Lonchura striata: one gene and its partners. Each later gene encodes a partner of the first gene's protein in a complex. Links are inferred from orthologs where the notes say so. Each region holds a gene or a part of one and is shown in the gene's direction. Other genes may lie near its edges.

Region 1 (6,833 bases):
TTTTAACGCTAAAATAGTAATTGAGCTGCACTTCTAGGGCTTCCCTTGCCAGCAGCCATCCCTGGAAATCCCCTGTAGGAGTGAAAGGATAGATAAGGACAGTGCCATGGAAACAGCTGATCCTTCCCCTACCTTTCTTAAATGCACTAGCAACTGGAGACTAACTTGCAAAAGTCAAACTATCTAACCAAATCTGCACAAATCTAAATATTTTGTGCTCAATTTCAGTGTAATAGTTAAGAACTACAAGTAAATACACTAAGAAAATGTGAGGTCTCAGTGCTTTTGTTCTTGGGAAAAAAAAAGTGTTGTCAACACCTCTCTAATCTCTAATAATAGATTAATTAATAGATAATCTCTAATATTAGATTTGGTGTACATTTTGACATACCTTTATCCTCCTGTTATAGAAATATTTGAAAAATCAAATAGGCTGTACTAATGAAAAAAATCTGCCACGTTCTTCTAGGCCACAGATTAATGCAGTGCAGTGCTGTAACCCTACAACCTTCCAAATAAAGCAATGGAGGCACTTTTGAACATCATTAAGTAAGAAATAGATTAGGGAGAAGCTGCAGAAAACAGAAACCTCTGTCTTCTCCTGAAGCAGTATTTCACTGTTTTAGCTGATCAAATGCACTTTGCAATTCAAGCTGTTTCTTCCAAGGGACTTAATCCATAATCTGGGAAAGAAAAATACAACCTTGTTTCACCACTGCTGAAAAGCTGCCAACTCTTGCTCCAGGTGATTGCACTGTATTTGTTTTTCCTGAAAACTCTGGTGACAATACATAGGTGGGAGAAAAACTGCATTTCAATTAACATTTTTGTTCTATTTAAAAATTGCTTATAGGGTTGCTAATTCACCATGTTCTGCCTCCACTCTTAAGTGAGGATGGTCGTCTTACTATGACTAATTTAATTTCACGTTTTGGTGAAGTGGAACAGCCTAACCCTGCCCTACACATACTCTGGGTAATTTCTCCCACTTCTGCACCTGCATTGCCCACATCTGTTGGTGATACTTTGAGTCACGGAGTGTTGATGAACTCTCTGGAGCTAAGCATTTGGGGATTCAAAGCACACCTGACTCTTTTGATGACCTCTTCCCAAACTTTCCAGCCAAGTGCTGTTGGTTTTTAGCCTTCTGTAGGTACTAGCAGAAGCATTAGCCAGTGAAGTCCAAACGGATGGTAGGCAAGTGTTGGGAGTGCTTCAGAACACATGCTTTCAGGGCCCAGCTTTCAAGAACATTAGGTAGAAGGCTGTGTCAATGGCAACACATGGATTGTTGACTGCAGGGGCCTGCACACATGATCACATGCAGGACAGGTTTCTGTAATCATGCTTTGTAGTTCCTTCACCTGTGCTGCTATAGACAAAAGTTTTCAGATTGACTCCTACAGGCATTCTTACACTGATTGAAGATGGATGTGTATCAACCTAGTCTGTGGAATAAGTAAATAGTAAGAGACCATTGATTAAATGAGAATAAAAATAACAGATGCATATCAGTTTGTAGACAAAGACCTAAAGAATGAGGTAAAACTCTACCATACATGGTTCAAAATGGATTAGGACTGTCCACACAAATTATCAGTCCTCGTGTTAGTTGCGTTCAGGGCACTTCTTTAATTAAGCAGATGCAACTATGGGAAACAGACCTCACCTTTGTAACAAAATGTATTGAGTCAAGACTAAAAGCAGCAAAGGTATGAGCACATACTTGACAATACACCTTCTTTACTGGTAGCCTTGGACGTTATTTTAACACATCAAAACACTAAATGCTTTCACTTTCTTTAAGAAAACAAAAGAGGAAGTAGAATACACAGCTACTACAGCTTGAGTAATGAACTTCCTCAACTAAACACAGAGTTAAGCAGAAGGACAGGTTAGATTTTTTTCAGTTAACAGAATTTTAATCACAATTTACACATATTGTGAGTGCAGGTTGGGTTGTTTATACTAAACTAACCAGTCTAACACAAGATAACACACTTTTTTCCCCATTACTAGCTCTGTTGAGCTAGTCAAGCTTCTTGTCCTATAAATGCTAATTGATTTGTATGTAAAGTGTTACTTTGCAATGAACAGAGAGATCAGCCCATGTACATGCAATGACAATATCAGGTTCTTAGTTTACTTACAGCATATTGTTTGGTATTGTCTTAATGACTTCTCTTTGGGAAAATTGAAGGAAAATTAGCTTTTAAAAAAGAAAGTCAGACCAGTGAAGAAGTGTGAAATGAAATATAATGAAGCAAGATGTTTATAATCAGATATAAAAGAATCAGACTATATAAACACTAATAACACTGAAGGTTAATAACACTGATTGTATTTTTCAGTATAAAAGTACTGCTTTTGTATTTGATTTGTGGTAAGAGGAAATTTTTGATTTTTCAGACTGAACAACAAAAGTGGTCCAGAAGTTCATACTATAAACAGCATGTCACTTTTGGTACTTTCTAATGGTTTGATTCTAGCAAATGCATGAATTTGTCACAAAGGTTTGTGATTGGAATAATAAAATGCAGTGCCTTCCTGGATGGTGTATATACACATCCATTTCAATGACATGGCAGCCATTCTCATCACACAACTAAAGCTGGTGGCAAAAAGAAACTGGTCTCCTGGCTTAAAAGGAAGGCTGCTCTTTTATCTTCAAAATGTATTTATGTTGATAGACATGTTACTGTAGTACCTTTTTCTATAAAATATTAGTGTTGTGTAACCTAATGAGTTCTTCAGTAATTCTAAATTCAATCTGAAGGTTCAAAATCAAACCTGAGAAGAAAGCACACGTGTGAAACTATTGAAAGAAACCTGCTATTGCTGCTCATATCTTTGCTTGAAATTTTAAACTTTATGATGATTTTACAAACTAAGGTGTCAGTGCCATTGTTTTGTTTTGTTTTGTTTTGTTTTGGTTTGGTTTTTTTTGATGGAGCAGAGCACCCAGCTCACAAATGATGTTGGCCATTATCCTGTGAACACTTGTGCAAAGGCTTAGCTTTTTTACCATTGACAGTCTCATTAAATTCAAGGGGATTATTTGCATGAGTGTTTTGTGCATCAGCACTGGCTGTACTGAAGCCACTGCTATAACACACATTTTGTGGGTCGATAAATTAAAAGTCCACTTAGGTCATCTTGTAAATGCTTTTCCTCTTTATTAACACACAAAGTTAATAGCTGGACCTGTCTCTCTACTGCTATCACACTCCAGAGAAAATGGGAACTTTGACACAATTTACCCCATCGTCGGGTCGTTCCTGACCTAGAACCTCCACAGGATGATGCACAGCCTGCGGAGAGGCCAGGCCGCTCCTTCTGCGCTCTGCAACCCAAAGGGAGTTGACAGAGCAGGGCCGTGGAGGATGGGACACCCTCTCTGGAAGCCGGGGCGCTCGCCAAGGGAGCGCGTCCACCCGGGGTAGGTCTCCAGAGGCCCCGGCAGCCCCGGGGAGCACAGCGAGGGGAGGACCGGAGAGCCCCGCTGCGCCCCGACCCTGCTGACCCCCACGCCCCGATCTGGCCCGGCACGCCAGGCCGGCGCCCTCTCCCCTCAGAGAACGGGATCTGGGCCGGGCGCGTCCCCGGCCAGCAGCGTCTCGGCGGGGCCGGCGGGCACCGGCGGCATCCGGCAGCCCCGCGGCCTGCGGGCCCTGCCCCCAGCGCTGGGCCGCGTCTCCCGCGGGAGGCGGAGGGAGCGCAGCCGAGGGAGCCTCGCTGCTCTTCCTCCTCCCCTTCCTCCCGTCCCCCCCAGCCCCTCCGCAGGGCCGAGCCGTTGCGGGCGGTGCAGCGGCGCTGCCCCCGCCCCTCGGCGCCGGCGGCCGGGACGAGCGGCGGCGGGGTCACGGCGGCGGCCGGGTCAGAGGGTAAAGGTTGCTCCCCCAGCATCCTCCGTGCTGGATACTCAGCCATCTTGGATTCGCGGGACAAGAAAATTCATGCGGTGAGTCCGGCCCCGGCCGCCCCTTCCCCGGCCCCGCCGCCGACACGGGCCTCGCCGCCGTCCCGGCCGCGGCCCGATGTGGGAGGCCCGGGCGGCGGCGCGGCCCTCGGCGAGGCTCGGTGGACCTGGGGCCGCCCCGCCGTGTTTCCGTTTGCTTTTGTCTCCGAGGGGGAGCGGGGGGGACGCGCGGCGCCCGAGCCGGGGGCGCAGCCGCAGGCCCGGCCCGGCCCGCCGCCCCCCGCCCTCCTCCGCGGCCGCGGGCGGCGGGACCCCCGGGCGCCGCTGCGGGGACGGGCGAGCCCGCGGCCCGGCTGTGTTTGGGCCCCGCATCCCCGCGGCCGCCGTTGGCAGCTCGCCCTGCGGCCCACTCGGCCCGCCCGACCGGCTTCTTCCCGCCGCCGCCCCGCCGGCTGGTCCCAGGCCTCCTCCGTCCCTCCGAGCCCGGCCCCGCGGGGCTGCGCGGCCGCCCGGCCCCCGCCCGCCGCCTTCCCCGGGCCCGGCGCCGGGGCAGCGGAACCTGCCGCCCACGGCCGGGGCCGCGCTGGCCCCGCGCTCCGCCGAGCGGCCGTGCGGCCTGCGCCGCGGGCCCCGGGCGGAGAAAGGCGGTGAGATGGGGGTGTTGCTGGCTGGCTTTCGGTTGAAAAATTATTTTATTTTCTTTTTTTTTTTTTTACTTTTTTTTTTTTTTTTTTTCTCCTGCGTCTGTTTCACTCTCCTCCTGGTGCAGGTTAAGGCTGTGTGTAAACAGGTTCTGGCTTTCCCTCGGACGTGTTTGTAAAACAAACTTGAAAGGGACAGAGCGCGGGCGCCGGAGGAAGGAACCAGCCTTCCCCTGCCCGCCTGGGCGGCGATGACAAGCTCTGGCGTGAGCCTGACCCGTGCTGGGAGAGGAGGTGGCACAGGGTGACAGGTTAGGGATAAGAGGGGGACAGTAGGGCGGTGGGAAAAGATGCAAGTGTCAGTGTTAGCAGTCTAGTTAGTGTATGTATGCTTCTGGTGAAAACAAGGACCAACTAATGGGTGTTCTTGGTTTTAGGATGGGGTTTTTTTGGTGAAGTTACAAGTAACTTTGTTTTGGAGGCTCTGTAATGTGGGAAAATGAAAATATGTTTGTGTAAGGTGGTATTTGCTTCTGCTGCTTATTCAAATCTAACACAAGCATGTTTAATTTCTGCTGTCTCTTTTATCAGGGAAAAAGTTGTTCCCAACTTTGCAGTGTTTTATCCCCAGGGGAGGATAAGAACTTTCTGTGTATCTTTCATAAACATATATGTGTTTATGTGACTTGAGTGCGTGGAGGAGACACTCCTATGTGCCTGCACAAGCAGCAACATCTGGTGTTGGTGACTGGCTGCTAGTCTTAACTCTTCAGCTGGGGAAGGATAGATTAAGATGATCAAACCTGCTGTCATGCCTGTTATTGGAAAACTTTATCTTTTGGAAAACTTGGATTTGTTTCAGACTTGTGAAGACCTGCAAGAGCAAAGTAATTTTAGAAGTTTATATTGCAAAGGCATCTTCCTTTGGATCTGGAAGAATTGTTGTGTATGTGCTGATGTACTTTAAGTTACCTTATACTGACACATTAATGGAACATAGCTCACAGGATCAAGTTTTGTGAACTTGAACATGATGTATCTGTCCCATGCCTTTTTTTCCCTCTTCTTTTTGCCCCCCAATTCCACTGTTCTTTGTGTTGTGTATTCAGTTGGTATGCTAAACTTCGAGGTGTTGACTGCTTCTGATTTTAGAAAGGGATTTGAATACTCACTTATCAAGAGCTGACTGACTTGACTTGCAAGTGTATTTCCGTTTCATTTTCAGCAATCTGTTGATAAAGCTAAGAGTGTAGTAGTAGATAAACCTTGTCTACATATCTCTTCTAGAAACTTAATACTGCTGTCAAGGTAGTCATTGTTATTGCAATCTATTTGTGTGTCAGTTCTATCAAGAAATGAAAGAAAAGCCCTTGGCTAAAAACTGAAAATAAAGAAACCCCAGAAATTTATATCAAAAAAACAGATTTGAATTTTCTTTAACAGAATCCAGTTCTAGTAATTGTCATTTAGTGGAAAAAAATAGGACACTTGGTGTGTTCTGAAGTTTGATGCTAAAAAATTGTTTGATGCTAAGAAGTGGCTGTTTCCACCTGAAAATCTTGGTCTTTACCTTAGTAGCTTCATATGAAAATTCTATGTGCCTGCAGTGGACCTTTAGATCTCAGAAAGTATTTCTGTTTAATTTTTTAATATTTCTAAATGCATTTCTGTCTGGATAGAGATTAGCTTTGAAATCAGGAACATTATTGCTGTTTTAGCCTCTGTTGTAGCTTTCTTAAAAATTATCCTAATATTCATGTTGATGGAAGGGCTGTTGTGTAGTAATTGCTAAGTAGTAACCTCATTATGGTTTTAAAGGGGCCTTGTATCATAACTTTGTTTATTCAAAAATATCTTCCACCTCCATCCTTTTATGAACTCAAGAAGATAATAGAACTTAAAAACACACCGTATTTCAATTAAAACAGAGGTTTCTATCACCTGGCTTTCTGACTTTATCTGGAAACTAAAAATAAACATTGAATTGCTTGTTTTCCTTTGAGGTAGTATATAAAGTGCACCAAGTACAGAATTTTATTCTAATGGAAGTAGACCCCTGTATCTAACTTTTAAAATTATGTCTTCCCTTAAAGCTATAATTTGCTTGAATAAAAGGCACCTTAAAAATGCGTTATCAAAAAGGAAAATTTTTAAATTCTTGGCAGAGTATTTGCCACATTTGTTGTGTGTCTTTATAAATGTTAGCTTAAATAGAAAGCCTTTTACCAGTTTCTATGGAAGTACAGTACCTTAGGAAGTCAAATCAAAATTTT
Region 2 (7,228 bases), on another chromosome or scaffold:
GGAGAGGTGATTCTAGGAATAAAAACATGCAAGAATCAGCCTGTGTCTAAAAAATGACAATGAGGTAAACAACATCATGCTTCTCAACAGCCTTCAGATTTTAATATTTGATTAGGACAAGTAAGAATTATAGCATTCTTAGATCTGTTACGTCACTGCTACAGTATAGCACAAATGTGCACACTAGGAAGTATTAATGACTCAATGCTCCACAGACCTGCATGCTTGAGCTAGAGAACAAGATTCAATGTACATTTTAAACTGCTGCAATCCTGACAGTTTATCAAATATCTAAATAATTCTGAGAGTCATCTAAACACAGTACACAAGTATCTCAGGTGGTGGCAGAGATGTATAATAGTATTCATAACTGACAAAAAGGAGTTAGAAACTCTTCTCTCACTGTGGAAGTCTTCCTACTAAAACACAGATATTTCTAGAAGGAAAGCTTTTGATCATATTCAGTTTCTTTCAAACTACTTATTCCACTTTTGTCTAACAATGCATAATAAAGTAATTCTAAGGCTGCAAAGCCTTACCTACAAATTGTGCCATCCCAGGATTAAAATTCCTGAATTCATCTCTGTTGTGGATATGCATAAGGGGAGATTTCAATTACCTTTTTACATACAGGTCTTCTGGAAACCACTGAACTCCATTCCATGCAGAGAAAAGCAGGAATATTAATTGCCTCAATGCTTTTTGTATAGAGCTTTCACTGTAGTTCTAATGCTCAATAAACATCAAAGATTTATCTTTACTATCCAGCTGTGAAAGAAGATGCTCTTATATTCACTCGGTAGATGGAGAACAGGCCATAAAACTTAAGGCTGAAATCATTAAAAATGCAATGATTTCAGAAGCACAATATGAGTGCTCTAAGTCCTCATTTTTCAGATTACCTGTCATTTTAGGCATATGCCATGTTCAGAGCAGCTATCCCATTGATCTCAACAGCCATGGAAGCCATCCTGCAGTTCAGATTCCTGTATTTATACCCACACACACTGAAAATGCAGACCATTATTAGGCTCTGCCCTCCTATTTGGGATCCCATTCCATCTCCCAGTTACACCTTTCCTCCTCATTATCTCCCCTGCTTTACCAAAACTGTGCTCTCCTCCCCGATTCCTTTCCTGCCTCCAGTTACGTTGCTTTTGTCACATTTCCTGGGCACAGAAAGTGAGGGAGTGGGTAGGACCTTTCCTTGGTCACCCCTTCTGTAACCCCAGACACAAGAGATCCCACAAGCCACAACCCCTCTGTGCCTGCTCTCCCACAGGATGGGCTGATGCGTGAGCCATGCAGGATGAAGGACATCCTTTACTACAAAGAACTTAGAAGTCAAACAAGCCTCTACTGTGCAACTGGATACAGATACTTCAAGAGTACATCTTCACCAAATTTAGCAATTTAAATAAAGCAAAAATGTACCATTGCTCCGCCACAGAGACAACTCTCCACCACAAGTTTCACATCCCTCTGTCAGTGCACAGAGGCACCAGGACCTCGAACCAGCTGTAAGCCTTGGTCAAATGGACCCAGTGGCCTCCCTGAGGCCTCCCAGGCACACTCCCAGCTCCAGCCTCGGACACGTGCATTCAGACAGGAGGTTGGGGGCGTTATTGAGATTTTTTTAAACCACTCATAGCAAATACTTCTAAGCGTAAGGTGAGAAATGTTGTGGGACATTCACCTTCATAGTGTGGTACAGGCAATTGTGTGGGATGGGAGATTTAGGCCAGCTGAAGGCTTATTTCACAGCACAAAAAGGCATTTTTGGTTTAGAGTTAATGAGTGAAAATTTACTCTCAGAGTACAGTACATCTAACATTGTGTTTTAAACAGTGGGCAATTTCTGCTTAACCTGGCTCTCTTTTGCAGCACTACTGTCCCAAACTCAGGACAACAGCACTCAGTGTGACTTGGCAGCTCCTGAGATGTATGGAACTGTCATGGGCAGGTAAAAGATTAATTTAGGGAAGGGATCTCTCTTGATTGATGAATCTGTGACCTTGAGCAACCAGAGCACTTGCACCAAGTATATCTGCCATGTGAGACAGACAAAATGAAAGAGGCTCATGTTACACTCTCAGATCTCATTAAGCACCCAGACCAGAAACACCGATACTGGCACTGGCCATCTGCTCTGCTGTTTGCCTGGTTACAGGTCTGATAACACTTTCAGGGAGCAAAAGTTAATCAGACGCACAGATGAGCAATAGCACTGCTGACAGGAAATTCAGTGGAACATAACAGTTTCTAAAAAAACCCCCACATACCTGTTTTTACTTCATTCTGCTCTTTCAAACCACACAAGCTGGCGGTTAAAAAACATTGTTGACATAAAAGGCTGTAATTTTAGGCTTTTCAAATATTGCTGATTTTTTTATAAATAACCTGTAAAATCATAATAAAGCTCACTAACTTGAAATCTGCCAAATTGCTGTGATCTCCTGTTAATCTATACAGAATAATTTTTAATTGCTTTTAAATTATTCTCTCCGATGTTCTCATTTGCTTATCTCAGGTATTTGAGAATTACAGTATTTTCTGCCATTGGTTCTCCACTTGCAGTGTTGCAGGCCTTTGTCAGTAGACCTTTCCATGTTTAATGTACTTTTACCCCAGCACCCATCCCTGAGGAATGAAGGTTCCCTGCAAGCATTTTTTGAGAGACTTATGATCAACTGAATTTTCTTTGCTGAGTAGCAATTCCTGGAAAATCCTGCAACGTATTCAAAGACATTCCTACTGCTTTTGGAGAATTTGCTCTGGGCAAAATGATATAGTCTATTGAGGCCATATCTGACCCAGAAAGTATTAACTGAAGAATGTGCAGGACAGCTGCTTATCAGAAAGAAAAGACATGCAGTGCAGGAGAATGACATGTAGAGCTGCTCGAGTCAGTTCTGAATGACTGTCAGCTCTCCAGAGCCAGCCAACACGGGGAAGCAGATAGGGCATTCTGCCAGAGCCCGTGCGCATCCGTAATGGAGCAGGCTCGGGTATCTTAGCACAGGACTGCACCATGTGGAGAGGAGATAGTTTATCATCCAAGAGCATTTCAGATATATGATATGATAAGGCTGAACAGAAATCTGAAGTCTAGCAGGATTGTTTCCAACCAAGTGTCAACCTTTCCGTGGAGGACTTTCTGTGAGCAGGTTTGGTCAGCAGCATGCCACGGTCATGTTTTCCAAAGCAGTGGCCTCCACGGATGGGGGTGGTGTTCCTCAGAAGCTGGACCTGGTACCATCCTCTTTCACATTGAGTTAAAAGAGAATGCCTTGCTGCACAACAGTGTGAGTGTGAGTGCCATTTATTTTCAGCTACATATCTAGTTATACCTAAATAGAGGCCTCAATTCCTATTCAGCTTTCCTAGATCATAAACAGGGTTCTGGGACAGTTATGGGTGTCTGGGAGTGTCTTTGTCTTCACTATTCCTTTGGATGAAGGGGTGTGTACCAAGTGCTCATTTGCTGCAGCATCATCAATGTTTCAGCATTTTAACTCTCTGAGAAACTGATGAAATCCTTAATTTGGAAGTCATTATTTAGGTGTTTTGCTACTATTACACCAGGGATGGCACTTCCCCACCATCACTTCACTTGGCATCCCTCATCATAAAATCCTGTTGTGCAGGGACAGTAATAATAACACTTAATGAGAATGTACTTTATTTTTCTAAATATCTTGGTTTGCATCCAATAATCAGTTCATGGAGAAAAATAACGTGAGCCGCAACCCGAGTTTCAAAAAGGTGCTGCTGGCGATTCTGGGGGACATTTCACCGTAAACATTGTTCCTGAGTGTGTCACAGCGAAGGATCCGAGGTACTGGTTTCCCATTAAACACGCAAACATAGAAGACATGTTGTCTTTCCTGAAAAGCGTTTGGCCTATCACCTGCACCGTGTCTGAGCTCATCCACTTCAAGGCTGAGTTCCCCACTTGGGCTTTTGCAGGAGAATTTAAAAGTTCTTTCCCAAACAAATGATTACTCCAATTCGCCTTCCTTGGGCTGCTGCTAGGAGCCCCTTCCCTGCCATGCACCACTTGCTCGGCTTTCGAGCCTTCCTCCGCAGCCCAGTCGTTACTTTCACCCACTTTTCCCCCCGCCGCGTTCGTGCGGCCGTACCCCGAACGCGCTCCCAACTCCTCCCTCGCATCCCCCCGCGGCCCCCGGCCCCGCCGCGCGGAGCGTGCGCGCAGTGCGGGCGGCTGGGCAGGTGGGGCGGAGAGCGGAGCGGAGCGGAGCGGAGGAGGAGGAGAGGAAGGAGGAGGAGGAGGCGGAGGAGGGGGGCCGGCCCGCCCGCAGCCGCCGCCGCCGCCAGCGCCGCCATGATGCTTGTTTGCTTTCAATGAGTGTGAGGAGGAGGCGGGGGGGAGCCGCTCTCCCGTCCGGCCCGCGGCAGGAAACAAAGAGCCAGGCAGGCGGCGGAGCGAGGGCGGCGGGGGGACGGGGATGCTGCAGCCACAGGTAGGGGCGGCCCCGGCGCCCGGCCCGGAGCGGGGGGCTCTGCCCGGGGGGGGCAGCGCTGCGGGAGGAGTGCGCTGGGGGGGGACCGGCGGCAGCACGGCGAGGGGGGACCCCCGGGCTCGGCGGGGAGAAGCCCCCGCGCCGCGTCGTTCGGGGGTGTCGGGGGGCCCCTCTGGGCGTGGGGGGGGCCGGGGGTGTGCTGGGCCTGGGCAGCCGCTGCTGCGAGGACGCCCGGAGGAGGCTCCGCGGCCGGGGAGGCGGCGAGGAACGGCGGCTCTCGAAGCGGGGGCGGCGCGGAGAGGGCTCCGCAGCCCCGGGCCGAGCCCCCGAGCGCCCACCGCCGAGCGGGAGGCAGGACGGAGCCCGGGAGGGAGCCGGGCCGGGCCGGGCGGCGCCGCGCAGGAGCCCGGCTCTGTTTGCATCGGAGAGGCAATTAAGAGAAATTAGTATAATGGCATCTGGAAGCCTGAAGTTGTTTTTTTTGTTGTTGTTGTTGTTGTTATTATTGGTGCTGGTAGGTTTTGTTGGTTTTTTGGGTTTTTTTGTTTTTTTCCCTCACCGTGCAATTGAGTTTAAAATAATTAAACAAAAGGCCGAGGGAAATGACACCAATCGGGGGAACTGCCCGTCCACCCTGCACGCACGGCGCCCCGCGCCGCTGCCTCCCCGGAGGCCGATCCGCCTGGCTGGGCGCGCAGCGAGGGGCGGCAGCGCTGCCTGTCAGCGGAGCGCTTCGCCTGCTCCGGAAGGAGCCGCGGCGGCCGCCCGCCCTCCCTCGCGTCCCTCCCCGCCCCGCCGGCAGCGGGAGCCGCGGCCGCGCTGGCGCCGGGGCCGGAGCGCCGCTCGCTCGTTCCGGCGGAGGGAGCGGCGGGGCGGGCGGGGGCCCTGAGTGGCAGCGGCGGCGGCCAATGCGGGGCCGCGGGGGCCGTGAGTGACAGCGGCGGCGGCCAATGGGGAGGCGCGGGGGGCGGGCGCGCGCGGCCGCGGGACGGGCGCGTGCAGGGATAAACAGAGGGAATTGGGGCGGGGGCGGCGGCGCCCGGGCCGGGATCGGGATCAGGATCGGGATCGCGGCGGCCCGGCCGGCGTTCCGTAACCGGGCGGGGCCCCAGCGGAGTCACTGCCTCTGCTAGGCCGTGGGGAATGAGCGCCTGGGCCGCCTGCGAACCGCATCGAGCGGGCGGTGGGCAGCTCCTGCACCCCCCGGTCCGTCTTGGGGCTCACAGGACAGCCTTTCCTCCTCCAGAATTTTATGGAGAGCGATAAGCCTGGGATCAGACAAGGCTTTAGAAAAGGAGATATCAAATGCACCTGTCTGTGTCTTAGTCTCTATGGTGAACACATATTTTATCAGCATTTTTTCCACAAACATTAAAAATTCATATGAAACCTACTAGGTTATAGTCCTAGGTTGGACTCGATGATCTTAGAAGTCTTCTCCAACCTGATTCTGTGCTGCTTTGCTTTATGTCATGTAAGAACTATATTCAAAACAAATGCAGTATGCTAAAGATTTTTCTTGGTGTTTTTTTTCTTTTTGTTTTGTTTTTTTGTTTGTTTGTATTTTAATACAGCCATCTGTATTTCCACAAACGCATAGAAAATTGCATCACTGAAAATAGGACTTCATGGATGGGTATTTCCTTTGTAACTAGAGTTGCAGATTGCCTGTTTTTTCATTTGATTTCTGGGGCTTATTTTCATAATCTAGATTTCGGCACAGTGGGTAACTAATTCAAAATCCAAGGGATTAAGAAATACCTGTGGTATTTGTCTGGCTTAAACACAAAGATGTGCAAGTGTTGACTGGTAATTGTATTGTATCTCTCATTTCTTTTCATTCTAGAGCAGGTCTCATAATTGGGAATTTATCAACATTTCCACTGGGGTAATTTTACAGGATTATCTGCCCTCTGTTCTTCCTGCTGGTTCATCTGGACTCTGTGGAGTTTGCTGCTAGCAATGAAGCCTTCTGTGGGGGTTTATTCGTGCTATTACTGAAATGGAGCCCTTCGCATTTGGATTAACTCTTTGTTCACTTTTCACCTGAATCGTTTGGATCAGCCCATGTTTAAAAAGGATCCTACCATGCATCTCTTTTCTGTTTGCATTCTGAAGTTGAACTCTGAATGCAGTCTCATGTTCAGGATGTTTACTGTGCTTGAATTTTAGAGGAAGAATTGAAATATAAAGATAGATGAAACTGTAGTACTGCAGGGGCAGGTAAATGCATTTGACATTTTATACATGAAGACTTGAAAACATGTTATGAAGGGTCACAAATTGAATGAGCATGGTACCTTTTCAAGATAGGGCTGTACTAGATATTAGGAAGACATTCTTTTAACCAAGTGCAATGTTTGTGGTAGAAACCACTGTCTTCAAAATGGTTCCAAGACTGAGCAAACTAAAAATTCTTTCCCAACATATGAACAAAAGAATCCATATTTGAAAATGTGGCTGTATAAACAAAAAGGGTTCTGTTACTCTGTTACCAAAAATCTTAAATATGAGTGTCCGTAGCACATTGTGCCATGCTGTTTGGCTCACCACTGTGCCAGGAGTCCATGTGGTGAACCAGAATTCTTCCATCCACTTGTGCAGTCCGTGTTGCAGAGGCCCTGGTTCTGTTTGCTAACAGACTGTTGAATTTTAAATTATTATCTGTTTTTGTCACATCCTTTTGGCTGTATGCTTGTGTATGTGCAGTCTGAGCATTATATCCCAGTCTCAAACAGGGCCAC
Region 3 (7,496 bases), on another chromosome or scaffold:
AATAAAAAAAGGAAAAATGAGAATATTATTTTGCTTCAAACAGTTTTTGAAGGAAAAAGAGTTTCTAAGTGATCAGGAAAGGGCTTCCTTGTCAGAAGAAGAGTCTATCCAAAGACACATATGCAAATAGCAATACTTTATGCTGCTTTTACGTGCCAATATGTCCCTGTTGGAGTTTCACCATAAATCTAATTGGGCCAAAGCTCTGTCTCTTCTGGGAGCATCCAACACTCAAATAATCAAGAGAGTGGACTAACATTAATTTACAGGTGTGATCACATGTGGCTTAAAATGCAGAGACCTCACTAAAACTTGCAGCAATGACCATGTTTATTTCTAAGCCACTCAGTATTCAGCACTTATGAAGCCATTAATGCAATGATATTTTTGGTGTTTCTTAAGTGCTTTTCAAGCTGTATCCAAGATACCTTGGCAGCTTAAGAGAGTTAACAAGTGAAGATGTATTCTCATACAGTTACTCAGGAAGACTTTTAGGTATTGTTAGCATGCCAATATTGTTGATTACTCCAGGAATAACAAAATCTGTTTCCGTATTGGTGGTCCTGTCTCATATTTTGAAATGAAAAGATGAACTAGGAAGAAAACATTTAACTGTTGCTAGAAAGATACACATAAAGAGATGTACACAGAATGCATATTCTCCTTCCTTTCTCTGATATGCTGCTATTTAAAATACACTGTAGACAGGATGGGTCACTTTAACTACTATGGAAAGGAATTTGTTTACAAGAGAGAATTCTCATGAGAATAAACAGAACAATCTGGAAGAGTTTTAATTCACCCGTTGACTTTAAGGTGTGACTTAATTCTTTCCTACTGTGTCCCTCCTAAATGAACTGTGGGGATAAAAGATAGGCTGTTGGAAGTTGTTTCCTGAGTATTTAGCCTCTTTGCTAGAAGAAGCTAAAATACTGGCTGGATAGTTTTTTAATACTTTTATTGCTCCTTCCAAATGTTGTCTTTTTCTATCTATCCCTCATTAGGATTTTTTTATAGTACCTGCAATGTAGCCTGTGTTTCTTATGTGTCATCTAAAATACAATAGTAAACAATAAAAAATACAATAGTAAATAATATCATAAATTTTAAGAAGGAAAGAAGGAAAGAGGACTCCTACAGTTAAATTGCATAGCCTTGCCCTTAGCTCCGGAAATCAAATCTGATTGTTCTCCTTTGGTTGTGAATCTAATTTTCCAGCAACAATTACAAGTCATCAAAAGCTGATGTTCTTTTAAATACTACATCAATTGCATTCTAACAGCCCAATTATTTTGTAAAGCTTTATTTGTATTTGCAAAGAGTAACCTGCCAAACTAGATTGCCTTTATCACTTCTAGTCTGGGATCTCTGTGTCTGGGCTAATATGTATTAGCATGTTTGAGCCAACAGAACAGGGTTACACAAGGGGCATGAGAATCAGAAACTTAAGTACAGCCCCAATCTCTTTATTCCTCTCTAGCACCTCAAAGCATGTTTTTTACTGAGGTTCTTCCTTAAAGTCAAACATAAAAAATGACAGGTGTATTTTATGCTTATATTGACCATTTAATAGCTATTCCACAGGCCATCTAAAAGAAATGGAGTATGCTCAGCCTGCACCCAGAGGCATTGTTCTGCAAAGGGAGAAAACTGAAGTCTTCCTTTTATGCCATGAGACTGTGTTGCACTGAGACATCTCCTGCAGAACTCATCCCCCTGGCCCACCAAGGGAACTGGGGTCCCAACCTTGCTCCCTGAGTATAATGCAATCCATTTCAGATCTGGCCAAGAATTTCTTTTATCTGAGTCTGCACTAGTACAACACACTCTCGCTTCTTCGTTACACAAGTTTTGAGCCCAAGGATGTCCAATACACCCATGTGTACGCAAAATACAGTGCCCTGTGCAGTCACAGAAACACTATTTTACTTACTACACTTCCTGTCCCAAGACCATTTTACACTCATGGGTGTTTTTTTTTTTTTGGTTTTTGGGGTTTTTTTTGTTGCTTTTTTTTTTTTTTTTGGATTAAGGTTTTTCCTACCCTGAAATGGTAATCTGTTTTAAAATCTTTGTGACTTCAAAATTCCCTTTGTCAACTGATGCTCGTGCCTATCCCACTTCCTAATAAGAATTCCATCTTCTAAATTGTTAGCTTTCCTGTTCTGACAAAACCTTTTAATTTGTATTGAATGCTTCCATATGGCTGCATTAGTGAGCACATTTGAGTAATACAATTTTTTTGCTATCTCAGTCATCAAGGAAAGTTTTTATTTCTCTAAAGTCCATTTCTGCAGTTCTGCATCCATTATTCCAGTAAGCACAACATCAAAGAGCGAAGTATGATTCTGAAATCTACAGGAAAAGAAGAAGCAGCTTTCTCTTTCTAAACATATTTATTCTTTTAGCTCTGCTGTCTTCAGCAGAGTTTGTTATTAGGAGCAGGCTGTACAAAAAAGATCACCCGGACAAAAGCATCAAGGTTTGTTTGGGTGCTAATCCACCCAGCAAGCCATCCCTCAATATAAGGCACAATTTTAGATGTGATCATTTCTATCCATAAACTTCAGGCCGAAAATGAACAAATGCAACTTTTGTCAGCACACTAGAAACAGAAAACCTGCTGGTTGGTCTGAGGCCTCTGCTTTCCCAAGTTTTCCATCTAGCTCTACCACACACATACATAGTTTACTTCCTCAGCTATCTGCAATGCTTTCATCTTCTTCCTAAATCTTACAATTAAAGTAATTGTTGCAGTTGTTAGTAAACTCTAAATTGGCCTAAACTTCCAAATAATGCTTTGTTTCCTTGAATACCCTTGGCCAGGTCAGGGAGTTCACTGGCATCCTCTTCCATCTGCTTTACTCTTCTAGCAGCATATGTTGCAAGCAGACTTCTCGCTGTGATCCAGTCCGCTGGTAACTGCTCTGTCAGCAAGGCTTTCATATCTTGCCTTGCCTGGCTGTAGACCTTGTTTTCCTCACAGACCCATCCTTTTTAACCAACTCTATATGTACATTAATCCTTTACACCTCTGGGATCTGGGTTTCTTTCACACCAGAAATGTGAAATAGAGAACACCTGCATTACTTGATCTACACAAGCCTTCAGTTTATATTACTTTAGAAACTGAATCCCATCTTTTACACATGTATTGCTGTCTGGAAAACCAAGATCCTTAGGGCTGGGTGAGTTGGGAGGAATACTACTACTAGAAGAATCAATGCCTGTTCTCAGGACTTCCTAAGGTCTTCTCCTCTCAGCACATTCCACAGAAAGCCCTTCCTCCAGGCCATGACCTCAGCACTTCTGGTTAAGCCAGTGACTTGCTGTCCCACAAGATGTACTTCCACAAGATAAGCCAATGAAACATCATCACACTTCAGAGGGATGTGCTTCAATCCCTGACTCCCAGGCACACATTACTGCAGCCCACCACCCTCCAGCTCTGCTGAGAGCCCCACCAGCAAAGTGGATAGTCTCAACTGCACTGGACCATGGAAGATAAGGATGAACATAAGCCCTGCAGAATCAGTTAGATTGAAAGGATTTCTGAGATCATTGAATCAACCTGTGACTGCACACCACCTTATCAACTACACTGGGGCACTAAGGGCCATATCCAGTCTTTCTTTAAATACTTCCAAGGATAGTGACTCTGCCACCTCCCTGGGCAGCCCATTCCAATGTATAAATCACCCTTATTGTGAAGAAATCCCTAATGTCCAACCTAAACCTCCCCTGGTGTCTCTTGATGCTCTGTTCTCTCATCCTGTCGCCGGTTACCTGAGAGAAGAGCCTGGCCCCCACCGGGATACAACCTCCTTTGAGGATGTTGTAGAGAGTGTTAAGATCCCCGCTGAGCCTCCTTTTCTCCCGGTTCAACAACCCCAGCAGCCTCAGCTGCTCCTCATGCAACTTGTGCTCCGGACCCTTCAATGGCCCAATCCGCGGTGTAAGTGCTGCGGCCATGAGGTGTTCCTCGGCCACGAGAGCACCCCCGGCCCCGCAGCCGGGCAGGGCGCGGGGGCTCCTCCGCGGCCGGGAGCGGCCCCGGCCCGGGAGGCGCGGGCTCCAGGCGCAGGGCTCCCAGCACGGGCTCCCGGCGTAGGCTCCGAGAGCAGGCTCCCAGCACGGGCTCCCAGCACGGGCTCCCAGCACGGGCTCCCAGCACGGGCTCCCGGCGCAGCCCCGCCGCCGCGGCCCCGCCGCCATGGCGCGGCCCCGCCGCGACGCACGGGGACAGCGCAGGCAGCGTCGCGCGCCGCCGGGCGCCCCCTGCCGGCCCCTGCCGGGAGCGCGCGCAGCCGCCGCCCGGGCCAATGGCCGCCCCCGCCGGGCGGCCCGGACCAATCCCGGCCCTCCCGGCCGCGCGCGCCGCCCCGCAGCCCGGCACGCCGCCGGCGCCTTTCGCGGCAGCGCCGTAAAGCGCGGCCGGCGGGGAGCGCCGGGCCCGGAGCGGCGGCGGTCGCGGTCGGATGCCCGGGGGCGGGGGCAGCCCGGCGCCCGGCACGCAGGCGGCGGCGGAGGCGGGCGAGGCGGCGGCGGGCGGCAGGATGAGCCTGTCGCCGAAGGAGCTGTCGAGCCTGCTGAGCATCGTGTCGGAGGAGGCGGGCGGCAGCACCTTCGAGGGGCTCTCCAGCGCCTTCCACCACTACTTCGGGAAGGCCGAGCACTTCCGGCTGGGCTCCGTGCTCGTCCTGCTGCTGCAGCAGCCCGACCTGCTGCCCAGCCCCGCGCAGCGCCTCACCGCGCTCTACCTGCTCTGGGAGATGTACCGCACCGAGCCCCTCGCCGCCAACCCCTTCGCCGCCGTCTTCGCCCACCTCCTCAACCCCGCGCCCGAGCGCGGCGGCGACGAGGCGGAGCGCACCCCGCTCTCAGGTGTGTCCCGGCCGGCGGGGAGCGGGGCGGCCCGGCGCTGTAACCCTCCTGGGGAGAGCGAGTCCTGCCGGCGGGGGCTTGGTGCCGGCCAGGCCCTTGCTTGGACCTCGTAGCTCTCTACAGCTGCCTGAGGGGGCTGGGGCTGTTTAGCTTGGAGAGGAGGAGGCTCGGCCACTTTCCGCTCTCCACAACCGCCTGAAAGGAGGGAGGCTGTAGCCAGGTGGCGGTCGGCCTCTTCTCCCAAGCAACCAGCGACAGGACAAGAGGACATAGTGTAAAGCTGAGCCACGGGAGGTTTGCGTTGGATTAAGGAGTCCTTCACAGAAAGGGTGATTAGACATTGGAATGGTCTGTCCAGGGAGGTGGTGCAGTCACCATCCTTAGAGGTGTTTAAGGAAAAACTGGACGTGGCACTCAGTGCCCTGGTGTAATTGACATGGCAGTGTTCAGTCATAGGTCAGGCTCGATGATCTCGGGGGTCTTTTCCAACCTAATTGATTCTGTGATAACGTGGAATTTTTTGGGGAGAAAGCAGTCACAAAAAGCTGGAGGTGATAGGAGGCTTCTGACGGCCTTAAAGCTGTGAAACAAAACTGTTAGAGAGAAATACATGAGAGTGAAACACTTTTTTCCTCTTCAGTAAATATGACACTACCAGTGTTGAGTAAAGCAGTTTCTAAAAAAAATAACCTGTTGGAGAGACTACAGAGAGAACCACCAAGTTGGTTAGAGGGCTGGAGCACTGGAACAGGCTACCCAGAGAAGCTGTGGAAGCCCCATCCCTGTAATGTTCAAGGCCAGGTTAGATGGAGCTTGGAGCAACCTGGCCTAGGGATGGCTGTCCCTGCTCATGGCAGAGGATGGGAACTAGATAGTCCTTAATGTCTTTTCCGACCCAGGCCATTCTCTGATTCTGTGAATTTCAATGTCAGGTCATACTTAATAGCTCACTTTTTGTCTGGATTGGAAATTGTGTGAATGAACCCGAGTGAGCATCAGGTGTGGCTGTCATCATGCAGAATACTGATCACGTAGTGCTGTATTTTGCATTAAAACAGTTCTGTGTGTGTCACACACTCTCCAGCTGCACCTACCTTGTCATAAATAACAGATCAGTTTGTCTTAGTTTTGCTTGTTATACAGGAAGAGCACAGAAACTGTTAATGCTCCTGCATTAAAAGCCATGGATTTTCACTGTGTCTCCACAGGCTTCTTACCTCCCATAACTCCTCCAGAGAAATTCTTTCTTTCACAACTGATGTTGGCCCCTCCTAGAGAGCTGTTCAAGAAGACTCCTCGGCAGATTGCTGCAATGGATGTGGGGAACATGGCCCAGTCGGTGGACATCAGTGGGCTGCAGCTGGCATTAGCAGGTAAGGAAGGTTTGTGGCTGTGGTGCTCTTGGGGATGGAAGGTCTCATTGGAATGTGACTGTGGGCCACCTGAGAAACACCTTTTTGTCCTGAATATGGACAAGTTTGAACTATGCTTCAGGGTCTTCAAGCCTGTGTTCAAGCACTTAGAGAAACTTCAGGCAGACATTACATCCTAACTGTTTTATCCTCCTTAACAAGTAAATTTTAAAGCATATATGTAATTGCCTTAAATACAAGAATATTTTGCAAGTATAGGAAGATTTCAATCTAAAGCTATGAGGAGTGTTTTTTTTTTTTGGGGGGGGGGATGAGTTTTTCAGGGTGGGACGTTTTTAGTGGTTTTTTTTTTTGCTTTGTTTTAGTTGTTTGTGTGGGGTTTTTTTGTATTTTCATCCCTTTTCACCCTCTGCAGTATTTCTATTATGACAGAACAAGCATAACTGTCATGCTATTACATACCAGTACTTCAGCTGTACCTGGAAAATTGACTATTACAATTATATCTTCGGTTTACTGCAAAGTTAGGCCTTGCAGTGTTAGCTCAAGAGTTGGAATCCAGTTTTACTAGATTGAAAAGAAAAGCAATGTGATGCTTATCCTTTGACAGGAGAACAGGAGGGACATGACTGTTCATGTCACATTTGGAGTGAAGATGAAATATTATACATTGTTGGAAACAAGGAACCAGTTTAAACAGAAAAAAAAAATCCTTTTTCCCTTGGTATGTTGGAGTAGACCTGCTTGCTTGAAAACTAACCATTCCAGATCTGTGTCTGTACAATGTGATTTATTGCTCTGAGGTTGGGCACCATTTATATCCATTTATATTTTCTGTGTCCTGCAGTTTTATCTTGGTATTGTAATTTTATTTTTTTTTTTTCTGTGGCCTCTGACATTGACTGGTAAAGCTGTGGTATACTGTCCTTTATGTCTTGTGAGGTCCTCCTTAGCTGCTATTTACAGACTGGGATAATTTGAAAATGCAAATCGAACACCTTAACACGCCATTGTGAACAAACTTTTCTGGTCCTTCTTGTGTTCATCCTGTCTGTATTTTGTAGACTACGAATTAGCAAATTAAAATTTTGCTTGGGTAATTTGTCATTTTTTTAGTCCAAGGCATATGTGATGCCTTTAGAAACCTCAAGGTGCTTTTATTTGTTTTCCCCTTGATACTGTGTTTGCCTTCCAAATAGTTTGTTCTCATTAAAGATGAAATAATTGAATCACAGAATG
Region 4 (7,657 bases), on another chromosome or scaffold:
CAGCTGACCCCAAATGACCACAGGGATATCCCACACCGTGTGGCATCATGGTCAGTGCATAAAGCTGGGGAAGAAGTGAGGGAGGCACAGTGATGGTGTTTGTCTTCTCAAGTCACCATGACACAGGTAGAGTACTGCTTTCTTGGAGATGGCTGAACACTTGCTTGCCCACAGGGAGTGGTGAGTGAATTCCTCATTTGTTTGCTTGCGTGCACAGCTCTCGCTTCACTTACTAAACTGTCTTTGTGCCTGCCCACAAGTTTCCTCATTTTCACTTTCTCATTTTATTCCCTACCCCACTAGGAAGACTGAGTGAGCAGATGCTTGGGGCTTAGCTGTTGTTGGATATGGTTAAACCACGATAAGATGGGAAAAAGAGAACACAACACCTCTCCATAATGTTATAACATGACTTACAACAATTGCACTTACCAGTATGAACCTTGTCTTGATGGACTGCATCCAAATACATCCGCATTTCATTTGCATCTTTAAAAGGTACCTTATCAATTGTCAGAAAGCTGGTATCCTTTAGTGTTAGCATCAGGCAGCACAGTTTTCTGCCATTTGGTCGTAAGGTCACTGTTTTAATGTTATGGCTTAACTGAAAACAAGAAAGTGACTATAAGCATAAATCCACCCTTAAAAGCCCAAAATACTTACAAATTCAAACAAAAGATTTCAAATAGACAGGATAAGAGACTCCCACCAAAATACTTCTCCTTGCTCCACTTCAAGGAAACATTAAACCTCATAAAATTAATACAATCTGTGACCTTGGCATCTGACAGAACTGTAAGGACAGTGTCACTATTGCTTAACAGTCTCTAGAGATAAGCTTTCTGAAACTTGCTTTTCTACTCAGTGTAACATCTGTAAGTGTAAAGGAAAAACAACTTCACGAAGTCCCAATTGGTAAAAACCTCCACATCAAGAGCAAAATACAATTTAGGATGGGGAAAGTTTCAAGTATTAAACACAAATATTTCACTTCACAATTTGCTCCCAAAGAAGACAGATTTAAAAAAATCTGCTGAGGAGGTAAGTCAGTAAGAAACATGCTTACTCTGTATGCAACATCTTAACAATTAAGTGATGACAAAACCTTCAGGGTTATGGTTGAGCACAAAAATAATTTTAATAAGACTTTGTGCTTCCTAATGATGCCACTGCTATTTTGTAATATAATAACCTTACTTGTGTTTCATGCTAAGTCACCTACAAAAACTGGCTGTTGGGTAAAGTTCTACTACTCGTGCAAGTGGAGGGCAGCTCAAAAAGACTGAGATAGTAAAAGACACTTCATGCCCAAGAACAAGATTTTTTTTTTTTTCAATTTAGATCTCTAGCTTCTTGGAAAACCAATCTAGACACAACAGCAGCTTGTAAGAGGGGCTGAAAAACCACCTTGATCAGTAACTATGGGTTTGTTTTAATGTGAGCATTACACTTCTGAAACACATTGTGCTCAATCCTTGTATTTTGGGTTTGGCTTTTTTGTTGGGATTTTTTAAAAATATAAGCTAAAAATACCTTCAAAGACCTAAGAATTGAATAATAGGCTCCAAGTTTTCCATGCTGTTGAAACACTTGAGTCCAGTGCAAAGGGATTACAATTATTTCACCATCTCAGAGCAAAACAACCCATTTCAACTCAAAATGCTGTCAGAGGACTCCATCCATAGTTTCGGCAGGTGTGGGGAAACAAAGTAATTCTCTTAATACTACCTAGGACAACTTAGTTAAAGCTCTGAAACATCTCCAAGACATCATTTAACAGAATAAATTCGATGGCACACTAGTCACCGTAGAAAGAAACATAATATCGGCTCCATCCAAACCTTCCATTACAGAAAACTAAAAACAGGCAGGAAGCTCACTCACAGTCCTCTCAGAGCAGCTCGTCAAAAAAACAGGGAATGCTACTTCTACAGCAAGATCATCAGGAATTTGTCACACCTGAAGTGGCATGCCAACAGCCTGGGGATGTCTCACACAAACTACCCTTCAGCACAAGCCTCCTCCTCCTCCTTTGCTGCAGTCTCAGGTGCATGGTTGCTTATCACCCTGTCTGCTAGATCCTGCATTCAGTCCTTTCCCCAAATTTCTGTGAAAACCCTCCACTGAGCTCACAAAGAGATCTGACAAGTGACAGAGACAGCAGACATGAGAGGCTGGGAAGAAAACCTGCCCCTTTAGGCCATGGTTAGCTGTTCTGTAGGCTCATCCTCCCTGTGGAACCTCCCTGTGAGTTGCTGTCACACCACATCACTCATCAGGCAGAAAGGAGTGTGTGAGAACAGGCACCCAGGGAATGCACAAGGGGAAGACAAAACTGCTCTCCTCAGGAGCAACATGGTCCAACAGTGGATTAAACGAAACCTGCAGCCACAGCAGCACACCTGAGAAGGCAGAGACTCTTTGCAAGTCTGCAGTAACACAGGTGGGAGCAATCATAGCTAATGATTTCCTGACAGCCTTGATTTCCAGGCAACACCAGCTGCCAGACTCTTGGCTGAGACTTTTAAGGACACTAAGGCAGCAAAAAACTAACTTTTCAAAAAGAAATTAACTTTTTTTTTTCATAGCATCTGCACACACAGAAATAAATGGCTCAGAGAACAGCCTGGTGAACATTACTGACAAAAAACAAGAGTGGTGTGAAAAAGCAGAAGCCAACATATAGATCACTTTAGGCCATTGCAAAGTTGCTAAACAAACTGGGATCTTTTTTTCCTCCAACTGCTCTTATGTCAATTACATATTTTTAAAACAGGTATGTGTTTCTTATAGAAAAATCACTCTGCTTTTGATTTGGGGCATTTTGCACAAAATCTAGGAAGACTGACCTGAAAACAACTATAGAATGAGAAAAAATTTAGCTGAATATTTCAAGAGTATTTTTAACAGTGATCTACATCTGCATTAAAAACCTACAACAGCCATAACAAGTAATGTTCAGCAAAGTCTGAACATTAGGTGTATTAACATCATTACACCTCAGCTGGGGAAACAGCTAATATAAAATGGTCAGGATCTTCTCTAGAGAATGCAAATGTGCCAGTAAGAGAAAGGTCACAGGATCCAAAAATCTGAAATGTGAACCACGATGCTCTATACTTCTGTAACTTTTTTCTGCTTTTTTGGTCCTTCCCATTCAGTGGTATCTCAATGCCAACCTTGGTAGAGCCTTTAACAATACGTGTAAATAATTTACTGGAGAGTTATACAAAGGGATTAGTGTTCAGGAAACGAGGAACAAGAAACAGTGACAGAGGGAAGTCTGCAGGACACTTAATAGCCTTGAAGAGGACAGCTGTTCACAAGAGAGCACAATCCATGCACTGTTAAAACAAAAGCCTTAATGTCTGGCATACCTGAAACGTGGTTGGAATTCCTCCAACATTGTAGTGAACTACTAGATTCACTTTGTTGTCCTTCTCCACAATTTCAAAGCTCCCTTCTTTCCATTTCGTAATCCCAGTCTGCATGCTGCGCATCCGGACAGGTCCGTGCACCTTTAACAGAGCCATGCTTTCTCACAGAAAAGAGCTAACAACAGTAAGTGTGCTCCACCTTAAAAACCTGTTAAAAAGGAGAAATGTATAACTTTGTGGGCCAAATAATGGCTAAAGGAAGATGGAAGCATGGCTTGAACATTCCGTAGAAGTTTGGTAGAACCGTTTCACTGATTTTAAACGCAGTGAGGAAGAGCGGGACGGCACTGTAGAAAACTCAGATTAATAAAATCTCTCCCAGTATGAACAGCAGTGCACCGACTCCTTACTGCTGAAAGGTGAGCAGACAGAATTCCAGACACAAAAGTCCTTAAAATCCCTTAACTTCACCGGATTTAAGGTAAGGGAGGGAAAAAAAGCGCCTGAGGAAAGATAGCAAGAGATGGGAAACAGAGTTTTGGAGGAGGACTCCAGATTAAGAAAACGAGCTCGTTCCTGACGGCGCGGGACCCGCGGCCACCTGGCAGGGCCGGGACGGAGGTCTCCGGCTTCCCCCGCTGCTCCCCGCGCGGAAAGCCACGAGCCCGGGGCGACAGAGCCCCGGCTGCGTTCCGGAGAGCACGGCGAGGCGCGTTCCCGACAGATCCCGGCGGGAATGAATGGAGCGGCCCCTGCGCGCAGCCCGGGCGGCGCTGCCGGGGAGCCTCCCCCGGCCATCCCGCGCTCAGCCGCCGCCGCTCCCCGCCCGACCCGGCGGTGTCCCGGCTCCTCCCGGGCCTGGCCGCGCTCCGCTTCCGCCGCTCACACACACGGTGAGCGCGGCAGCGCCGCCCGCCCCGGGCCGGGCCGCTCGGAGGGCAGGCGGTGACCGCGCGGCGGGAGGGGCGGACGGCCGGCGGGAGCGGGTAGGAGTCGGCGGCGGCGCTGCGCGGTGGCGGCGCTGCCCGGTACCTGCGGTGCCCGGTACCTGCGTCCCGGCGCGTCCCGGCGCGTCCCGCGGGGCCCGGGGCGAGGCCCGGGGGGGGCGGGGGAAGGGGCGGCGGATGGCGGGAACCGGCCGCACAGCGCGAGACCGCGCGCAACGCGCGCCCGCTCACGTCAGCGCGGCAGCGCCTTCCCGGCGCGCCCCGCGCGCGCCCGCCCCGCGCGCAGGCGCCGGCCCCGCCCGGGCCCGTCCCGGCGTGCCCCGCGCGGCCGGGGAGGGGCGGCGGCGGCGCCGAGCCCATGGCGGCGGCAGCGTGAGGCGGCTCCGCTCCCACCGGCCACCATGCACAGCCTGGCCACGGCCGCGGTGAGCCGACCGCCCACGGGACCGTGTCGGGGATGGGGCCGCGTTGCGCGGACCGTGCGGGGAGCGGGAGCGCGGCTGCTTGCGGCGCGGGGGGAGCTTGAGGCCGTGCGGTGGCGGAGCCCCGGTGAGCTCCGCGCCCGCGGCGTCACTGGCGCGGTCCGTTCGGCAGCTGCCGAGCTCCGGCTGCTCCGTGCGGGGCTCGTCCGGGGCCCGGAGGTTTCGCTGCCGCTGGGTGAGCCGGCTGTGCCTCGTGTGCCTCACGTATGGCGTTCCCCCTTCCCCCTGCCTGCCGCGCTGCCTCCTGCAGCGAGTCAGGGCTTTGGGGTTCCTTAGAGAACCACTAGCAAAGGTGTCGGCAAAAGCACGTTTGATACAAAAGCAGAAGCGTGACAAATTTTGTTGGTAGGGTTTGCTCTACTTTTAAAGAAGCACATCGAAGAAAAGCAGACGAAAGTCTAAAACGGATTAATCTACAGCCAAAATAAATCCAAAAAATTATTATCCGCTGAGTGTGTGGAGGGGGAAGAGCAGGGAAGAAAATGGTAAGGACAGGAGAAGGTAGGACAAGAAGGGATAAGGAAGACCCTCCCGCTGAAGCAAAATATTCAGAGTACATTTTCTTTAAGTGGCCTTAAAACACTTATCTGCAACACCTCCTGCGTGCCCAGCCACCTCCTCTGCCTTCTGGGGAGCTGTTTTACTGCTGGCCTTGACTGCAGAGAGAAAGAGTAGACGGTGAAAAGCCCCTCATGGCAGCAGGTGCTGCCTGCTCCTGCTTCCCTTTGTCCCGTGGCAGTGCAGCACCGGCCACAGCTGGTGCTTGCCCTCTTCCTCCTCAGGAACCTGCCATGGCTGGATACGGTGCCTGATGCTCGGGCTGGCAGGACTGGAACAGTACCTTGGCCTGGGTGGGTTCAAAAATGGAAGCGGAGTTTGAAGGATGTGGTTATTGCTTTGTATCTCCCACGTGATTGGGTTTGTGTTTTGGTTTTTTCTTCTCCAAATGCTCGTTCATGGCATGTGAAAGACTTCCTAGAGCTGATTGAGTCTTGTGTGTACTGAGTGTGGGAGGTGTAATGCAAAGCCAGCAGATAGAGCTGTTTCACATGAACTTAGATCGAGGGTCTGGTTGGACTGCCAAGCTAATGAGTAAGTAAAGTTTTGATGAACAGGAGTTAAAGAACTTTTTACATTTCTCCTCTGTTTAAATGCTTATGACTTTAACTAGTTCTTGGAGTGCTGTCAAATACTTCTGATTTTAAGTACTGTTCTCCAGAACATGGAAGGGTGTGCCAGATCAGGTAAACTTTCTTAATCAGCGTTTACATTTTTATAGCACTGTAATTCTTTAGTGTTTGTTAAAATGCATGAAGGACTCCCATTAGGCATATCTCCCATTAATCCTGTGTCTAGTTACCTCTCCTTTTTAAAGACAATTTTAACAAAAAAAAAATTTCAGAATAGAGAGCAACTTTATTTTAGGACTCACTTGAATGTATATTTAATTTATGCATAGTTTATGCTAACTGGTAGTTCTGTATTGAAATGTTTCCTACCACAGTCAGTGAGCTTAGACTTTGGCTCAGCAGGACTTTTACCACTGTGCCTAGCAGCAGCTGCTCAATTAGGAGGAGAAAGCCTTTTGTGTAAATCAATTTGTTATGTCAGCATTAGAGATGTCTTTTCTCCAAGAAGGAGAAAAGATGTTACAAGATTTTTTTCTGATCTAATACTGTTTATAAGTTTTGTTTTCCCTGTGTGCAAAAGAAAGTCTACCTGGTGGGGTTCTGTCCTGGAGCTTGGAAGATCTGTGTGGCTTTCAGGGTTCCCCAGAATTTTGGGTCTTAGAGGGAGAAGAAGAAACAATAATGAAATAGGGAATTAGGGGGAAGAAAAAAAGTCCATATAAACTAAAACAAAAAGAGCAACTGTAGGGCCTATGAAAAGCAATTTGTTCTGGCTAAGGCATATATTGGACATCATAAACTTGTGTGGAAAATCTACTTAGTGTTCTCTAGGGATCACAAGCACATGATTGTGCTTTTAAGGGGTCGATGTATTTAAGCTTACAGGAACTGAAACTTCCAGTGAGTCTAGAAAAATAGATGGAAGCTTTAGATAACACAATTATAACAACATTATTGCTACAGTGCTTGTCAATCCACCATCCCACATAAAAACAAATGAGCTCTGTTCATTCTCCCTCTCTTTTTGAGCTTCAGTGTAGAAGTTAGCATTGCAATTGCAGTCACAATTGTAGGGGCACAAGAAACTTGGCAGGATCATTAATTTAGTTTGAGATTTTGGGGAAAAAAAATTAGAAATTGAGTAGGTGAGTGTCCTGGTTCTGGTTATGCCCAGAACAGAGTTATTTTTTGCATTAGATGGGAAGAAGCATAGCTAGGCTCCAGAGTTTATTCTGAACCACCTCACATCATTTTTCAGAGAGGGAGAAAGGACTTGATTTGAGCTTGGGGCTGCATGGCCCAGGAAGCAGTTGGTATTGTAGGGGGAATTCTGTGGGGTGAGCAGTAACTTTTCTTTTCTTGTACCCTCTGTCACTAATATTAGTTAGTTTTCTTATGTCATTGCTGTTCCCAGTAAATTGTTGCTATCTCAACCTGTGATATTTACCTTTTGTGCCCCCATTCCCCTTTCCATCTTGGAGCAGGGGGACTGGGACTGGAAAGAGAGAGGGAGTGAGTGGCAAGTGGTTTGGAATGGTTTCAGTGGGAATACTAAATTGGAGAATACCATTCTTAAGCCATGACAGTGAGAGAAAAGAGGACAGGAGGAAATATGAACAGCTAAAAAAGTATTTGAGCCCTAGAATAGAGGGACTGATAACACCACATTGGTTTACGTATGAACATTTACGTTAAATAATACAATGGAGGTGGATGGAGCA

Evidence for each region.
Region 2: CNOT2 (region 1) and CNOT6 share a complex: the UniProt entries of both Homo sapiens proteins name them as parts of the CCR4-NOT complex. The link is inferred for Lonchura striata from reciprocal best matches to the Homo sapiens genes CNOT2 and CNOT6.
Region 3: CNOT2 (region 1) and CNOT11 share a complex: the UniProt entries of both Homo sapiens proteins name them as parts of the CCR4-NOT complex. The link is inferred for Lonchura striata from reciprocal best matches to the Homo sapiens genes CNOT2 and CNOT11.
Region 4: CNOT2 (region 1) and CNOT9 share a complex: the UniProt entries of both Homo sapiens proteins name them as parts of the CCR4-NOT complex. The link is inferred for Lonchura striata from reciprocal best matches to the Homo sapiens genes CNOT2 and CNOT9.

Annotation. Positions count from the first base shown.
Region 1 is NC_134607.1:44,843,648-44,850,480, forward strand, and holds the start of CNOT2 (CCR4-NOT transcription complex subunit 2), read left to right. Parts: upstream 1-3,831; 5' UTR 3,832-3,961; intron 3,962-4,512; exon of another isoform or gene 4,513-4,566; intron 4,567-6,833. UniProt on the Homo sapiens protein: Component of the CCR4-NOT complex which is one of the major cellular mRNA deadenylases and is linked to various cellular processes including bulk mRNA degradation, miRNA-mediated repression, translational repression during translational initiation and general transcription regulation.
Region 2 is NC_134617.1:7,163,111-7,170,338, reverse strand, and holds the start of CNOT6 (CCR4-NOT transcription complex subunit 6), read left to right. Parts: upstream 1-4,228; 5' UTR 4,229-4,484; intron 4,485-6,330; 5' UTR 6,331-6,707; intron 6,708-7,228. UniProt on the Homo sapiens protein: Poly(A) nuclease with 3'-5' RNase activity.
Region 3 is NC_134604.1:87,469,785-87,477,280, forward strand, and holds the start of CNOT11 (CCR4-NOT transcription complex subunit 11), read left to right. Parts: upstream 1-4,478; coding exon 4,479-4,884; intron 4,885-6,092; coding exon 6,093-6,257; intron 6,258-7,496. UniProt on the Homo sapiens protein: Component of the CCR4-NOT complex which is one of the major cellular mRNA deadenylases and is linked to various cellular processes including bulk mRNA degradation, miRNA-mediated repression, translational repression during translational initiation and general transcription regulation.
Region 4 is NC_134610.1:15,626,870-15,634,526, forward strand, and holds the start of CNOT9 (CCR4-NOT transcription complex subunit 9), read left to right. Parts: upstream 1-4,649; 5' UTR 4,650-4,725; coding exon 4,726-4,749; intron 4,750-7,657. Other genes in the region: USP37 (ubiquitin carboxyl-terminal hydrolase 37), read right to left, coding at 433-604, 3,378-3,533. UniProt on the Homo sapiens protein: Component of the CCR4-NOT complex which is one of the major cellular mRNA deadenylases and is linked to various cellular processes including bulk mRNA degradation, miRNA-mediated repression, translational repression during translational initiation and general transcription regulation.